Linked DNA regions of Caenorhabditis elegans. The protein of the gene in region 1 purifies or fractionates together with the protein of each later gene. This does not show direct contact. Each region holds a gene or a part of one and is shown on either strand. Other genes may lie near its edges. The genes, in order: cpf-2 and fbxb-87.

Evidence for each region.
Region 2: the proteins of cpf-2 (region 1) and fbxb-87 fractionate together in Caenorhabditis elegans (co-fractionation; one large-scale study listed by BioGRID). This does not show direct contact.

Annotation. Positions count from the first base shown.
Region 1 is NC_003281.10:13,265,429-13,274,075, forward strand, and holds cpf-2 (RRM domain-containing protein), read right to left. Parts: upstream 3,456-8,647; 5' UTR 3,448-3,455; coding exon 3,384-3,447; intron 3,333-3,383; coding exon 3,277-3,332; intron 3,226-3,276; coding exon 3,104-3,225; intron 3,058-3,103; coding exon 2,913-3,057; intron 2,210-2,912; coding exon 1,586-2,209; 3' UTR 1,504-1,585; downstream 1-1,503. Other genes in the region: F56A8.5 (F-box domain-containing protein), read left to right, coding at 444-517, 568-1,251, 1,301-1,457.
Region 2 is NC_003281.10:10,891,358-10,900,004, forward strand, and holds fbxb-87 (F-box domain-containing protein), read left to right. Parts: upstream 1-3,162; 5' UTR 3,163-3,331; coding exon 3,332-3,411; intron 3,412-3,474; coding exon 3,475-4,375; 3' UTR 4,376-4,377; intron 4,378-4,781; 3' UTR 4,782-4,899; downstream 4,900-8,647. Other genes in the region: athp-1 (PHD-type domain-containing protein), read left to right, coding at 1-253, 1,134-1,567, 2,046-2,218; com-1 (DNA endonuclease activator Ctp1 C-terminal domain-containing protein), read left to right, coding at 5,071-5,124, 5,630-5,935, 6,666-7,005, 7,632-7,912.

The DNA.
Region 1 (8,647 bases):
GTTTTTTTCGCAAAACATGTGTTTGAAAATTACTTAAAATTATTCAAGACTCGAATTTTTTTTCGATTTTTCGATATTTTTTCGACCCTTGGTCTCGAGAAATTTTTAAAACACACAAAATTCTGACAATGCATATTGCAGAACATATTTGACGCGCAAAATATCTCACAGCGAAAACTACAGTAATCTTTCAAATTACTACTGTAGCGCTTGTGTCGATTTACCGGCTCTATCGATAGAATGCCAAATTTAAATTTTAGAAAAAAAAAAGAGAATAATATAATCGAACCCGTAAATCGACACAAGCGCTACAGTAGTCATGTAAAGGATTACTGTAGTTTTCGCAACGAGATATTTTGCGCGTCAAATATGTTGTGGAATACGCATTCTCAGAAAAAACGCATTCTAAGAATTTTGTGTAATAGCACTCTTAAAAGTTTAGAATGGAGAGAACTCTACTCAATCTCCCGGAGCTCAGTTTGGCAAAAATTGTGGCCTATCTCGGACCAAATGCAACGTGGGTTTTAGTTTTTTTTCAGGGAAAAAAACAATTTTCTTATTTTCCAGCATCAACTTTGCGCTGTCCTCTCCAATTGTCCGAGAATTCATCAAAACTCTGAACCTCTACGTAGAGTTTTTCTCGGTGGAAATCAATAATAATCGATGCGTCATTCGTTTGAAATTTTTCTATTCGAAAAAGGAATTCGAATGGAAGTTCGTGCCACCAACATCGTGCCACCATAGGACTATAATCAGGAAATTGAATAGAAAAACTGCATTATGCCAAAATCCATTGAAAGAGATGATGAAGGCGGCTGAATGGGTGACTGAATTGATAAGATTTCCGATTTCAAATGTTCATATCTGGGGACCTGATTTCGAAGGATCTGCTGATCTTTTCGATTGGTCGGCTATACAACAATGTGAGGGCATTTCGATGAACCTAATCTCTACGATGAATGGAAATTTGGAAAACTTCAAAGATCTGGAACACCTTGAACTCAGTGGCTGTTCATGGTTCAGAGCGGAGCATTTTCGAGCATTGGAGGCAAATCGTGTTTCTCTTTATTGCTTAAACTTCACTGTTCAAGACGTGAATACTATTCTCAGAGATTGGACCCGAGGATCAAATGCGAAATTGGAAAATTTGATTGTTCATTCGAAAGAGATTGATGGAAGAGTTCCAGGGCAAATTCTGGAAGGTCTCGATGTGAAACCATGGAACCACGAACAACGGCAGAAAATTTTCCCGTAAGTTTTCAAAAGTTTCCTGAAAGTTGCAAATTAAATTCTGTTTCAGAAAAGAAGAACCATTCCAATCATTAAACTGCGAGAAAGCGATGGATTTTGAACGAGCCGATGGTCTTCTCGCTTCTGTGATCATTAACGATAACGAGGTTGAGATGGTGGTTTGGCATAAAAGATTCTCCGACCAAGAGCCGATGGAAGAAGATTGAATTTTCATTTAATTTTGTTGCAATAAACCAAATGTTGAATTTAAAAATGTGATCTTCATGAAATCGATAGTTACAAAACGGAAAAATTAGAATTAAAAGCACAAATACTCGAGAGACGAGATCCATATTTACTTGACATTTCTCTTCAACTGCTGTCTCAGCTCTATTATCTTCTCACGATCCCCAGCAGGAAGCATCTGAAGATCGTGCTCGCTGAGCTGCATGACTTGCATCAGAAGCTCCGCATTTTGCTGCTCTTCTTGATGATTTTGTTGTGGCTGCTGAACTGGAGGTCTCATCTGAACTGGTGGCTGCTGCTGTGGCGGTGGCTTGTACTGCTGTGGAGCCACTGGTTGCCCGTAATTTTGACCGTATTGAGGAGCTTGCGGATGTCCCATAGGTGGACCCATAGGTGGTCCCATCGGAGGACCCATAGATGGGCCAGGATGAGCAAATGTTGGCTTCGGTGGCATCGGCATCTGTTGTTGCTGAACCATTGGCGGTGCTCCTTGAGGTGTATTATGGAATGGTGTCAGCGTGGCGGCCTTATTACGATGAAGGAGTCCAAGTGCAGTCTGTGGATCAACGATTCGCATGACAACGGCGGCTTGGAGCACCGCGTAGGCGATTTGTGGATGCTCGACCAGGAATTTGTGTAGTTCCGATGGATTGTTCTTCAGCGATTCTTGCAGTTGCTTCATTAGTTCGAACATTTTCTCCGGAGCCAGGGAGGCGACTGTTTGGGAGATTCTCTAAAATTTGTGATTTGAGAAAGAAAATGAGCTCGATAATGCATATTTAGGCCCTATTTCGTCATTTTTGAGCATTTTCTATTCATTTTTGTGCAAATACGACTATTTTTCATCATTTTTAAGCTTAATTTGAGACAATTCATTACGAAATTCTTACAATTGAGCTCATTTTGAGACTATACGTTCAGAATGACTAAATAAGCTTAAAAATGACTAAACAAGAGCGAAGTTTGCCAAAAAATAATAAAAATGATTAAAATTTGGTCGAAGAGAACCAAAAATTGTTTTAAAAAAGTACGAAAATTACAAAAAATGACCAGTGTAGGTCATTTTGGAAATTTCTGGCGAATTTCGGTCATTTTCATTCATTTTTGGGCATTTTTGGGCATTTTCAGGCCAATTGCAGTCATTTTCGAGCCGATTTCAGTCATTGTTGAACATTTCAGGCCAATTTCGGTCAATTTTGGACATTTCAGGCCAATTCCGGTCATTTTTGGACATTTCAGGCGAATTTTGGCCATTTTTGGATATTTCAGGGAAATTTCTGTCATTTTCAGGCCAATTTCAGTCATTCCTGAACATTTCTGGCCAATTTTCGTCATTTTTAGACATTTCAGGCCAATTTCAGTCATTTTTGGACATTTCAGGCCAATTTCAGTTATTTTTTAGACATTTCAGGCCAATTTCGCTCATTTTTAGCTACCTCCGGTGCTTTTCCAGCATCACACTCTGGACCATACGGATTCTCTTCGACAGGAGCTGGAGCATTACTCGATGAGCCGAATTCTTCCATATTCATTCCACCAGCAGCACTGTCGACTCGCAAAATACGTCCACTCAGCTCGTAACTGAACATTTATTGAATAAATAATTTATTTTTCAAATATTTAATACCCATTAAGGTTTCGAATTGCAACTTCGGCGGTTTGAATGTCTGGAAATTCAATAAATCCGTATCCCTTTGGCTTTCCGGTCTCCCGATCGTGAACCATTTTGATCGACAACACATTTCCTGCCTGAAAACTTTTTTTCAGTATTTTAATTGGAAAGAATAAAATAATAATTACCTTTGAAAAAATGGAGCGAATCGTGTCTTCGGATACATCGTAGCTAATGTTTCCAACTGAAAAATGCGAAAATTACGTTTTTTTTTCGAAAATTCACAGTTTCCTACCGAAAACTGAACGTTGAGATCGATCATTGCCCACTCCGGATGATTTGTATCCCCCGGACATCATTTTTCAACCTGGAAATTGAAAATGAATAAATTAAATCGTCGATAAATCGATAAAAGCATTTAAGGAGTTGGAAACTGCACAGAGAAAAAACTATTCGAAAATAAATCGCGTGCCGCACACTTGCGAAAACTGCGCGCCCGCATTGCATATTCGTTGCCTCTAGCTCCACCCACATTTTTTGTGACGTCACAGCACAAGCAAAGTGACCCTCCGAAAATGACCGATTTCCGCGGAAAAAGACGGAAATTGACATTGATTCTTGTTTGACACACATATTGATTGACAAAGATTTCGTATTTCGTCAAAAAATGATATCTTCTGCATAATTTTTATTATTACACATTCTTAAAAATCGGGTACTACTCATTTTTCTTACGAAAAACTTTAAAATTCGAAAAAAAATGTCTTCTCATGAATAACAGCTTGTCTCTCCGACTATATTTTTCACATTTCCGCCAATATTTTCAGTTTTTTTTTTTTTTAGTTTTTCGCCGTTTGATTTATGAGCCAATTTCGCGCATTTTGATTGATGGGAACAGCGTTGACGTGGGGTGTTAGTGTTCCCGAGAGATGCAGAGTATATATTTTATTTTGTTTTATTTAGTTGAAATGACAAAATTCAAATAATTTTTTTAGTTTGAAAATATTTTTTGCCTAGTTTTTCCACTTCGAAACACCGCATAAACTAGTTATACCTGATGCCTGATGTTTGGTAGTTTTCTATTTTGGGAGTATTTGGAACTAATTGAAACGAAACATTTTCTATTTAAAAAAATTTATCAAATAATTCTTCCACATGTTTTCCAACCCTTTTTTAGACCAGCCGTTGAATTTTCAATAAATCGCTTCGAGATCTTCGATTTGACGACACACTGAAAATAGTGCTCTTTTCGAAATGGAAATTCAATAGCGCTCCACTGCCAAACTAAACTTATTGGGCGCAAAGCAGTAATTTTAAAGAAATTTCCAGCTTCGAGTTTTGGAGACCGTAACAAATCTTCCAAAAATGCAAGGAAAATTCTGAAAATGCGTATTGCGCACCATATTTGACGCGCAAAATATCTCGAAGCGAAAACTACAGTAATTTTTAAATGACTACTGTAGTCCTTGTGTCGATTTACGGAAATCACTTATTAATCGATAAAATATTAGAAGAAAACATAACAATGACAAAATATTACGAACTATCGATCGAGCCCGTAAATCGACACCAGCGCCACAGTAATCATTTAAAGAATTCGCTCACGAGATATAGTTATATTTTGCGCGTCAAATATGTTGTGCAATACGCATTCTCAGAATTTTGTGTTCCCGTAATATAGTAGTTTCACTAGAATTTGATAGGCCTTCTTAAAGGTGCACGGACTTATTCAGATGGGTCTCGGCGCGCGTAGAAAAGTTTATAGTTAAAAGTTTCTCGTTTTTTTGAATTTTTGCGGCTCCGTCCTTGTTTATTTTTCTTTTAAAAATTCTATTAAAATAGTTTTAACTCAGTTTTCAAATTAAAAAAAATACTACCATAAATTTTTGTTTGTGCTCCGAGACCCATCTAAAAAAATCCGTGCGCCTTTAAAAAGACACACGGATTTCTGGCTTTCCTCATAAATTGAAATGGAAGAGTTTGCCAAACTAGGCCATTTTGGCTCGGCCATATCTGGGGTAGATTTACGGTGCGTTGCGTGTCGCGCCGCGGCTCGGTTTTGGTTGTAAAACTAAATGTAACTGTCCGAGTTGAGTACCCAACTTTCCCACGCGTTGTCCGGCAGGCGATTGTCAATGGAGCGCGAAAAATTCAACGAGGAAGGCCGGAACCCCGTGAAGGCATGCCAAAATCTAGTGAAATTAACAAAACGGGTTTGCCGCCAATACTTAGCGAGACCCAACGTTTCGAGGCGGAGCATTTTCATTTAGCCTTGGAGCGCGATTGCACTTCAATTCGATAATTTTTTTTAAGGTCAAAGTCCAGCAGAAAGTGCTCATCCCCACAAAACTCCCATGTATCTTGTTCATGTTCTTCACGCCTTTTCGCATGCAAACTTCCGAAATTCCTAGAAGAGTTTGGCTTCTCCTTTTTCGTATTCCCCTGTGGAGAACACAAACATATCTTCTTCTTCGTGAGCATCTTCTTCTTCTTCTTTTCCTTCTCCTCAACAACTTCTTCCTTTTTTCCCGAAACTGGCTTGATTACAACCTCCTCTCCTCTCACCAATACTTTTTCTCTTTTTTTTTTTCGTCAAACTTTTTTTTTCTTTTTCTCCTTTTTCTCCCTCCATTTTTTCTTTTTTCTTTTTTTTCACGACATGAAAAAAAGGAAAAAAAAGTAGAAGACGTCCAGGAAAAGCCCTTTTTATGTGTGTGTGTGCAAGTTTTTTGCCGGGGCTCTCTGAGCTTCTCGCTCTCCCTTTTTGCCTAAATTGGCTTCTTTTTTTCTATTTTCACCCCTTGTTTATTACTCTTTTTCATGTACTTGGACCCTTGTTTCACTTTAGTTGAAATGAAACAAAAGTTGAAAGTTTCCGGTTTTTTAACTTCGTTAGGTAGCTTGGATGAAGCTATAACTTCTGAGCTTCTGCTTCAAAACTTGGAAACTGTTAGTTAGGTGGGGTTTTTTTCTGCGTTAAATCAATGGAGAGCGGCAAACGATTTTTTCCGGCAAATCGGCAGATCGGCAAATTGCCGGAATTGAAAAAAAAAATTAACTTGAAAAATTTCCGGCAAATCGGCAATCGGGCGTTTCCGACGAAAATCGGCAAACCGGCAAATTGTGGTTTTGCGCATTTCTTTCGATTTTTTCCGGAAAATTGGCATATCGGCAAATTGCCGGAATTAAAAACAAATTTATTTTTAAAAATTTCCGGCAAATTGTCGATTTGCCGAATTTGAAGGAAAAACTGCAATATCTGAAAAAAAAAAACGGGAAAAAATTTCAAAACGGTAGAGTCTTTTAAAAAAATCACTCAAAAACTTCCGGCAAATTGATATCCGGCAAACAGCAAATCGGCAAACCGGCAATTTCCAAAAATTAAACATTTCCGCCCACCCCTGCTTTAAATGAAAGAATAACCGAAAAAAATTGATTTTTTTTTTCAATTTTGCAAAAAAAAATCGCTGATCACCATGGCCGTCACGAAAAAAATTTTACCAAAACATAAAAACACTAAAAAAATTTTTTCGATATTAATTTTTAAATCATAAAAATTTAGAAAATACAAATTTCTAAATTTTTTTACACTTACATATATTTGGATATTACGACCCATTTTCTATCATTTGAAGCAAAAATCTCTGAGCTTTTAGGTAGGCACAAAAATACCTACCTGCCTGTCGTGGTGAGACCCACTACAACTGCCTTTAAGGTTCCGTTTCATTGTTCCACGACTATATAATACGACATTGTTTATCATCACACCATTCGGTCTTCCATTCCTACAGCTGCTGCTGCCATGAGTCAATTGAATTTAGATATTATTATGATTATTATTCTGTATAATATCTCTGCAGTCTCTCAGTCTCAGTCACCTGTCTTGCTGTCACTCTCACTTTATATTCCTTTCCCCTGCCGTCGTTTTTTATCCACCCCGTATACACACACTTTTTTATAAATATGTAAAGAGGGATGTAGACATATGTTTTTTTTCCGGATTATTAGTTCCACAACTCTTGTTTGTTTTTTTCTTACCCAGGAGTTTTTTTAAAAGAAACTTGGGGCACTGGGAAAAACCTATATTTTTTTGTCAATAGTGTCAAAATGGCCAAAAGTTTTTTGAAAATTTTAATAAAGTGGCAATTACTAAGTTTTTGCCATTTTTTGAGAAATCTATTGCACATGTTCAAGCATTTACAATGTTTGAATATTATTATTTGAAACATAAATTGACCATAAAATTTGGAAAAAAATTTTGATCAACGACTTCCACAAATGTGGCAAAAAATGAGATTTTTTCAATGTTCAAAAAATCATATAAAATTTAATTTCAATAAACTTTTGGATGGTAATGTTATAGAAATGTTCTGTGTATAGAGTATTTCTCTCTAACACTATTTAAGCCCCCGTGTTGCTCATTCATCTTTCTTTCCCCCCAAGAAGACGTCTATGATATCTCTACAATTCATCTTTCTTGTCTATTTTTCCTTTTTATTTTGTATCTTTTGCTACAATCAAAACATCACTTTTAAATCCAACCAGTGCGCCCACGAGAATTTTGAATTTTTGCGTCATTTTTACCTTCACTTGATTATACTTTGAATAATTAGATTCCCAAAAAAAAATTACTTTTTTTTTTTTTTAATTTTCAATCAGTTCTTAAAAACCAGCTATTCATATATTTTCTAAAGATAAGTAACTAAGTAAGTAAGTAAATAAATTATTTTAATTCAATTCAAAAATCAAGCTCGTAAATCGAAATATGCGTTACAGTAATCATTGAAGAATTACTGTAGTTTTCGCTTCGAGATATAGTTATATTTTGCGCGTCAAATAAGTTGTGCAATACGCATTCTCGGAATGTTGTGTTCACGTAATATGTTCATTCGGAATTCTGAAAGTGAGCACTTTCCTTGTCGGAATTTTTACAGTATCACCAATTTCCAATCTATTAGAACCCCTCTACAAACTTAAACGTCGTTTCCGTATTTTCCATTCCAAAAAGGGTGCCAACAACACCGGAGGCTTCCCGAAAAAAAAAGTGGTATGGCTTAGATGAACTTTCGTCTCCATGTCTTCCTTTTCTCACTTCCATTCCGACGAAGAAGACGACGAAGTAGAAGAAGAAAAAAGAAAGGAAGACGTGAAATTTCGGAAGCTTGCTCCCGTCCAGAATACGATGGAAGAAGAAGAAGGAGGAGGAGGAAGCGACGATGACAACAACCACACAAAAATATCGAATTTCGAGAAAATATTTCTGTGGGTTTTGGGGTGGGAGGTTGACGTTTAAAAAGGTTTATATAAACATTTGGACTTTGGACATTTTGAGCTTCAACTTTTAGCAGTAAGTATTTTTAAGAGGGGCACTTATGCCTGTGAAATAAGAAAACTCGGCCACCCTCATTTCATGGTGAATTTTCTCAAAAAAACGCCGCTGTAGAATCTACAGCGCCTTTTTTTCCACTTCTACGAGTTTAAAAGGGGCGCATTTACGCGCGATGGTCTCGACACGAGCCATCCATTGATTTTTGGGGTGCGTGGCGAGACCAATGGCGG
Region 2 (8,647 bases), 2.4 Mb from region 1:
ATCCACAACCGGTTGGACGTGGCCGTGGCCGTGGTGGTGGACGGCCACGTGGTAGTCGATCTAGCAGAGGATCAATGGATGATGGAGGAGGATCAAGACGGCACTCGACAGCATCAGATGCTAACGAATCTGCGGAATTGTTGAACCAACCTGTGACGAAACAGCTGAGAGATGAGATTAAAGAAATAAAACTGAAATACACGAAAATGATGATGGATCGGGGTTTCGAGCAGGCGAAGGACGAGTATTTTAGGTTCGAATCCCGGAATTTCAGAATTTCCCGCAAAAAACTAGATGAATTTAGTTCAATTTTGCACTATTCCGGTTACTGTAGCCTCGAAAACTGATTATGGCCGAATTTTCCCATTTTCTAGGCCATGGCAGCATATTTTGGCCAATTTTAATATAGTGGCTGAGTTCTAGATTTTTCTAGGCCATGGCTGCAAAAACTTGGCCAAATTGAGCAGTGGCCGATGTTTTCAACTGGATTGCCTAGGCCACGGCCCACAGTTTTCGAAATGTTGTGTATTTTAAGTTCGAATTCCGAATTTTCAGAATTTCCGACAAATAAAAAAATTGATGAATTTAGCTCAATTTTGCACTATTCCGGTTACTGTAGCTTTGAAAATACGCAAACACTGATGATGGCCGAGTTTTCTCATTTTCTAGGCCATCCTAATTCAAAAAAAGTTTTAAAAAAATTGATGGCCCATGTTATATTTCTAGAAAGCAAATCCACTTTTTTTTTTTAATTTTGAGTCCTAGGCCATGTTTGTCAAAACTGCTCCAATTTCAAAAATTCAATAGTTGCCGAATTTTTCCATAAGGTTTTCTAGGCCACGATCAGAATTTTGTGAATGGTGGCCGGGGTTTTGAGTTTCCTTAAATTCCTTTTTAAAATTTTCAGTGGCTGAGGTTTTTCTAGGCCACGTTTTTTCTTTGTAATCCAGTAATTCCAGGGGCCGAGTTTTTCTTTTGCAGTTTCTAGGCCACGATAGTAACTTTGAAAGCACCTTTAATTAATTTTTTAAAACAGAAAAACAGTGAAAAATTAGCATTTATAATTTCTAGACCATGGCCGAGCTTTTTCCTTGATTTCTAGGCCATTTTTATTTATATTTATGAATTTTCAGAAATCGTGACGCAGCACTCAGCAAATGGACGCCTGAACAATGGAAAGAGCACAATGAGCAATGTGTGGCAGCCCGTCTCTCGTCTCTAATCCCATACGATCAACGATATTTCCTACCGACTCAACGGGTCCTGGCACGATTGGATCTCGAGGATGGCGATCTACGACTGCCGGCGGTGCATCTTCCAATTGCCATTCAAAGATGTGTCACAAAACTCGGCACCGCCCATGATTGCCACGTACGATGTGATAAATTGACGGGCGATGCGTGGTGCTCGGTGCTTGCAGATTATCATTGTGATATTGTTCGCGATTATTATTCGGATAATTTTTATATTTCGACACTCGGCACTGAAGCGGTTTTTGTGGATGGACGGGCGGTACGAAGACCGCGGCTGACACCGTTTGAGGCAGCTGAGAAATTGAGAACTCGAGGTATTGGAAATGCCAAGAAATGGGCGGGGATTGGAAACTCCGTCTACAAAATGGATAATAAAAAATTGAGGAGTGCGGAAAATGTGGAAATTTTAATTTTTTTTCCGAAAAATTCCAAAAACTCAATTTTTTTGGTGAAAAATACTAAAAAAATCTACAATTTTTAGGGTTTTTAAGGCATATTAAAATCAATTTTTTCTGAGAAAATTCTGAAAATCCGAATTTTTTGATTTTATTTGTTTTAATGCAAAAATATCTACAATTTCTAGGCTTTTTTTCCAAATTAAATTATTTTTCCTGATAAAATTCTGAAATTCCGAATTTTTTTGATTTTTTTTCAATTTTCCTTTAAAAAAATGCCAAAAAATCTACAATTTTTAGGTTTTTTTTCTGATAAAATTCTAAAAAATTACGAATTTTTGGGATATTCTTCATAAAAAGGATCCATTACTTATTGAAAAAAATTTAATTTTTGCAGGTTCCTCAACAATCATCCCTCCACATATCAAATGTCGATGCCAAAAACATTCTGATCTACAAATTTCGCGCCAAGAGAGCACCGGTGAACTCGTTCGCTGTGGAATCCTGAAACTGGAGCACGGAGCACGTATTCAAATTGGCTGTGTCGCGTTCATCTTCTCTAGGATCTAATTATGTGATCTCTTACCTCTTTTTTTCTGTCCGTGAATATCACGTATTTTGATTTTGAAATTTTTTTATGTGAAATCGTAAAATTTTAATGATTCTTTTGGGTGTTTTTTTTTTTGGAAAAAAAAGATTTTTCCGGCAAACGACACGTACAACAATTGCTGAAATTGAAAATTTCCGGCAAATTCGGCAAACCGGCAAGTTGCCGAACTGCAATTGCCACCCATCCCTGTTGTGGGTGACAATCATTTTCCAAAATTTGAAATTGAAATGTTCAAAAAAAAATTGAGCAACGCAGGTTCTACTCCTACAACAGTAGGTGTATGGAATAAAATACTCAGGCAACTCAAATCTAATATGAAAATATTAAATAGCAATATTTTTGTAGTAAATACGAGAAATAGTGCGTCCATATAATATTACTAAAAATTTCGAATAGATTTCGATTGTCTCAAAATATTACAATTTGATCTCAAAATATTGCGAAATATTCTCAAAAGATTGCTCAATCTAAAAAGATTTCGAATAAGTCTCGGAATATTGCGATTTTATCTTGAAATATCACCCAACTACAAAAATATTGCTATTTAATATTTTCATATAAGATTTGAGTTGCCTGAGTATTATCTAAAACTTTGGGAATATCATTATGAGTGGTGTTGCTCTCGCTCTAACAGGATAAAATATCATATTTCCCAGAGTTTTCAATTGGTGTCAGAGTGTCCCATTTCGGTTTGATCTACGAGAAGCGCTGACGTTACGGTTTTCTGTACAAAAATTTGTAGATCAAACCGTAATGGGACAGCCTGACACCACGTGAGTTTGTCCGGTTATGCCCTGCATTTTGCAAATGTTATGATATTTATAATTTTTATAAATAACATTTTTCAATTGTGGAAGACTGTTAGAGTTTCTTCTGCCAAATGTACCTCCAGAATTTTTTATTTAGATGTGGTTAATGTTCATATCTCTGACCCCATGCCTGCCTGTGTATTAGTTGGAGTGGTCAGGACCAGTGTACATCTATAACGTATGTAGTACCCATTATCTTTTTCCTAATCAATAACCTGTTGGTTCACCAAGTCATTCATTTTCTTATTCATTCTTCTTACAACCATGATGAGAGGTTTTCCAATTTTTCGATTACCGCATAAACCACTACGTTTATTGCTGAAAACTATGGAGGTGCAAGATTTGTGAGTGCATTTTTTTCCCAACTGGAAACATAAATATTCTTATAAGTAGAAACAAGTTTTCAGAGTGAGGATATCGTTTTATTCAAAAACTGCCAAACATGCTGTTGAATCGTTGAATATGAAGCTCATATATTTTTATATAACAATTTCTGGGACAATACAATTTGATATCTTCACTTATAATATGGAAGATCTCAATTTGAAATTGTCTGTGACACAATCTGAAGGAAGGAATTTGATTCGAGTGCACGGTGAAAAAGTAATGACAGGAATCAGTTTGCGGGAGTTTATAGATCAAATTCTTACAATATTCCATCAAGCAACTATTCATAAGCTATTTATTAAGCATATCGACTACGATTATCTAGAAGAATTCAATAATTTGAATATTCAACTTTTACACCTCGCGACTAGGAGCTCACTGAAACATTTTGCAAGACGATTCGATTTTCTAACTTTAGAGCAAATTACTTGGGAAACTCGAGATTTCCAGTCACTTGTGGGCCTCAACTTCAAACATTTAGAAACAAGAAGCACTTTTAAACTAGAAGACTTACTCGTTTCAAATACTTCTCAAATACTTATTCATGAACCATTGCCCCTAACAGATCTATGCATATTTCTAAAACATTGGATCAATGGATCAACTGAACGGCTGGAATTATTCCATATGCGTCTTCCTCAAAATTTTCAGAAGGAAGAATTTATTCAGAATGCCTTAAGTGGTATTAAATACAAAAAACTGGACGTCGACCAAAAACTGGAGTTCGAAGCAGCTGTGGATGTATGGAAGGACTCACACAGAGAGGTGAAAAACGAGGGATTTGGAATCCAAAGGAGCGATGGTACCTACGCAATTATTGTTGTGTGTGATGAGTTTGCAACTAACAAGTATTTGAAGATGTTTGTTTGGAAGCCGATTGATTCAAGTATCGGAGATCTCCTTAAAATTGCATCGTTTTAAATGTTAGTTTTGATTTTTTCTTTGTATTTTTGCGCTAAAATACGGTAAATCTTTTGTTTAATGCGAAGAGGTACGCACCTTTAATGAGTACTGTAATTTTAAACTTATTTTTTGCCGCGTGGTTTCCGTTGCTCGAGCCAAAAAAATGCCGAAGTTATTTATTAGAATTTATTCTTGATTTTAATCGATAAATATATATTATTTACCACAAACCATTTCGACTTTGATCAAAGCTTTGATTTAAATATATTTAATCTTAAATTTCCCGCTGCAAACGCGCTCGCTGACACGGCGCAGAGATAAGAGGGCGCCAGAGAAGTTTTGAGAGAAATCATTTTTTTGAATTTTATTTTCAATGTTTCCTGAATTTCAGCTCAATTAAAGCGGAAAATGTTTATTTTTGCAGAGTATCTACGTGGTCACAAGAGGAAACTTGTACAAAATTAATTTAAATGTTAAACATCTATTTTAAAATGATTTATTATTTATTTTTCTGTTGAATAAATTGAATAAACTTAAATCTTGAATTTAAATCGTGAAATTTAAATCGTTTTGTAATTCTGGTTGCCAATTTACCAGTTCATTTCTATTTTATTAACAATTTCCGCACAGATCATCAGTTTCCCTTCCAGGAATCCCAAAAAATGGACAGATATTACGGTAGCCACGTGGCAAATTCAAGTTTTGACTCATTTATGCAATCTGTGGATCCATTTGAGCCAACACCGAAACGAAGATCCACTGGAGAGGTAATTATGCGAAAAAATCCGGAAAAGCTCGAACTTCAGAGGTTTTTCCAGCTTTTCAAGGAGAATTCTTGAGAAATTGGAAAAAACATAGAAAAACTGGCAGAGTTTGCTCAAATTTTTGTATATAAATGACTGCCTTTGTCAATTTTTGCAGAATATTGTTGAAAATCGAACAATTTCATCAAAACATTGCTGAAAATACAGAAAACCTGAAAATTTCAATGTTTTTCGAGTTTTATGCAGAAAAATGCGATAATTTTCGCCTGAAACTCGTTTTTTTTCAAAAAATCTTTTAGAAAATTGAAGTTTTGAGTATGCTAAAACAATAAATCAATTTTTCCAAAAATTTGCGCGTCAAATATGGTGTATTAAGTACGCAATTAGAAGTTGTGCAAACACCACTAATATTACACCATATTTTACGCGCAAATGTGAATATTTTGTCTTAAAATTGCAGTTTTTGAAAAAAAAAAAGGTTTTTTTTTCAATTTTCTCAAAATTTCAGTCGGACAGCATCGCCCGAGCCATCAGAAATGCTTTGGATCCCGAGCTACAGTACCCCCAGCCATCAATCGATATTTTTGGACCGTCTACATCAAATTTTGGAAATTATGAAGAAAATGATGAATCAATTCTGGCAATAGTATCCTCAACACATTCTTCACAAGAATTGAGCACAACAACGGATAGGGAAAAACCGCCGAAAAAAGTGAAAAAAGAGAAGAAAATTGGAGAAAAATTCCCGATTTTCAACTCCAAACCGGCGCATCAGCCGATTATGGATGATTTTTTATCACCTGATGATATCGAGGTGATTAATGGGATTTTTTCTATAAAATCCCGGAATTTAAGATAAAAATCTAGAAAAAAAGTTTTCCATTGAAAATTAGAGTTTTGACTTATAAAAAAATCGCGACGAGACCCATTTGAACAAAATGCGTGCGCCTTTAAATTTAAACTCTGATTTTGAAAATTCATTAAAATTTGAATTTTAAAAATTTTTCGGAAAAAATTGCATCAAACTTTTGATATTCATTCATTTTTTCTTAAAATTGGTTGAAAAAACTCAAAAAATTCTTAATTTTTCAAATTTTCAAGTTTTCTGATTTAAAATTTTTCTTTACGTTAAAAAAATTAAAATAAACTATAAAAAATGCTTCAAATTCTTTGAAAAAAAAAATCAAAAAAAAGACCGATTTTTCTTGAAAAATCCAATTCCTAAAAACCTTCTTGCTACAAATTCTGCAAAAATTCAAAACTCACAGAATTTACAGAGAAAATAAAAGCTCAAAAAATTCGTATTTTTAGCAGAAATTCAAAGTTCTAAACAATTTTGCGCGTCAATAAAATTGGATTTGAAAAAAATTAACCTGAAACTTGTAAAAAAATTATTTAAAAAAAATTTTTTAAAAAATCGCTCAATTTTAATATTTTTTGTTGAAACAATATGGCTAAAATTTCTAATATTTAGAGCAAATTATCAAAACGGTCCAAATCTCATAAAAAGTTTCTGAAAAATTCCAAATTTTCTGTATTTCCAGCGCTACCGTAACCGTCCCCGGAAACCATACGTAAAACAAATTCGAATGGACGATTATCTATTCAAAGCCCGTCGAATTGATAAAGGATCACGAGAATTTGGATTACACACAACACACGAACCAAAACGTGGAAGCAAGAAAAAACGGGATTCGATTGAAAGTCTTGAAGTTGAAAATATTCAGAAACCATCGAAAAAGCACAATGAGCAACATCAAAAGAAGCCTGAGCAACTCGATTTCACACTGGCATTCACTACGCCGAGTCCGGCAAGAAATCGCCAAAAAACTTCGAAATTGACAAAGTTTTTCGAGAAAAATCCATCGAAAACTTCTAATCGAGGTGAATATTTATTTTCAATTGTTTTTTTGAAAATTAAAAATTCAAAAAAAATTATTTAAAAAAATCTGGAAATTATTGGAAATAATTTTTAGTTTTTTTCGAACATAAAAAAAACGTGTTTTTTGCTTAAATTAATTTAAAAAAAGATTCTCTAGAAAAGATTTCCGCTTTTTTTGAGATTTTCGAGAAATATCGAATATTTGAAAAAATTTCATTGAAATATACGGAAATGAGCTGGAAATTTAAAATTTTCTTTTTTTTTTTAAACGAAAATTCGAAAAAATAATTCCATTTATCAGAGAGTCGGTTCTTTAAAAAAATTTTTAAAAACAGAAAATTTTAAAATCGAGAAGCAAATATTTCCCATATATATGGGAATCGAAACAGTAAAAAATATTTTCTAGATCGTTAAAATTTCAAAAATTTCCGTTTTTTCAGAGATTTTTAAAGAAAATCGAATATATGAAAAATTTCATTAAAGAAATAGAGAAATGAGCTGAAATTTTGGGATTTTTCGATTTTTTTTAATTAAAAAAAAATCAGAAAATCGAGAAAAAATTTCTTGATTTTTTTAAAGATTTTCAACAGCAAAATAAATTAAAAAATTAAAAAAAAATTATTTCCAGATTCGAAAATTGAAAACCGTTCGAATTCTTCATCTATCATGTACAATGATCCATCTGCCTACTCAAATGATAGTATTTTGGATGATACAATTATCTCCTCAACACCTCCTGATAAATCATCATTTCTCGCTGAAACTATGCCACTAGCGACACCAAGTCCCAAGAATTTGACACCAAAAAGAGCTCTTCCGACTTCTAGTGCTCGATCGATATTCGGACACGTTGTGCTGCCGAATCCGATGAAACGAAAGGATTTAGGTGTTCTGGCAGCAGTGGAGAAGGTTGGAAATTTCTGAAAATCTGGAATTGGAGAATAATTGTGGTCTCGCAGCGAAGATTCTAAAAATAGATAAAATCAAAATTTTCTAAAATTAAAAAATGCGGAATTTTTTTAAATTGCATTTTTGAACCCAAATTTTTTCGAAACGTTTTGTTCATAAAAAAGTTTGTAAAAATTCAAAAAAAATTTAAAATTTAGAAAAAAATGCAGAAATTGCCCAAAAGCTAAAGAACAATGCAATTTTTTTAATGTGAAAAATAAACACAATATTGAAAAAAATAAATATTTGAAAATAATTCAGAATTAAAAAAAATCAAGCAACTGTTCAATTTTTTAAGGTAAAAAAAAAATTCAAAATCAAAAATATTGTAAATCTATAAAGATTCACGAAACTTTTTTATTTAAAAAAATTCTGAAAAACTCTTAAAAAATTATTTTAAAATTCCTATTTTTTTAAAATTTCAGAAAAATTACAAATATGTATTTTTTAAAATTTTTTATTTTCTATTTGGAAAGATATAAATTCAGAAATATTTAGACCTTTATACTGAATTTTTGTCAAAAATTGAAAAAATCAATTAAATCCCAATTCCAAATAAATTTAATATCAAAACACTTAAAAAAATTTTTTAAAAAGGTAAATCTGTAAAGATTTGGAAACCTTTTCATTGGGAAAATTCTGAAAAACTCAAAACTTTCTTTTGGAGTACAAATTTGAAAATAAATTCAGAAAAAT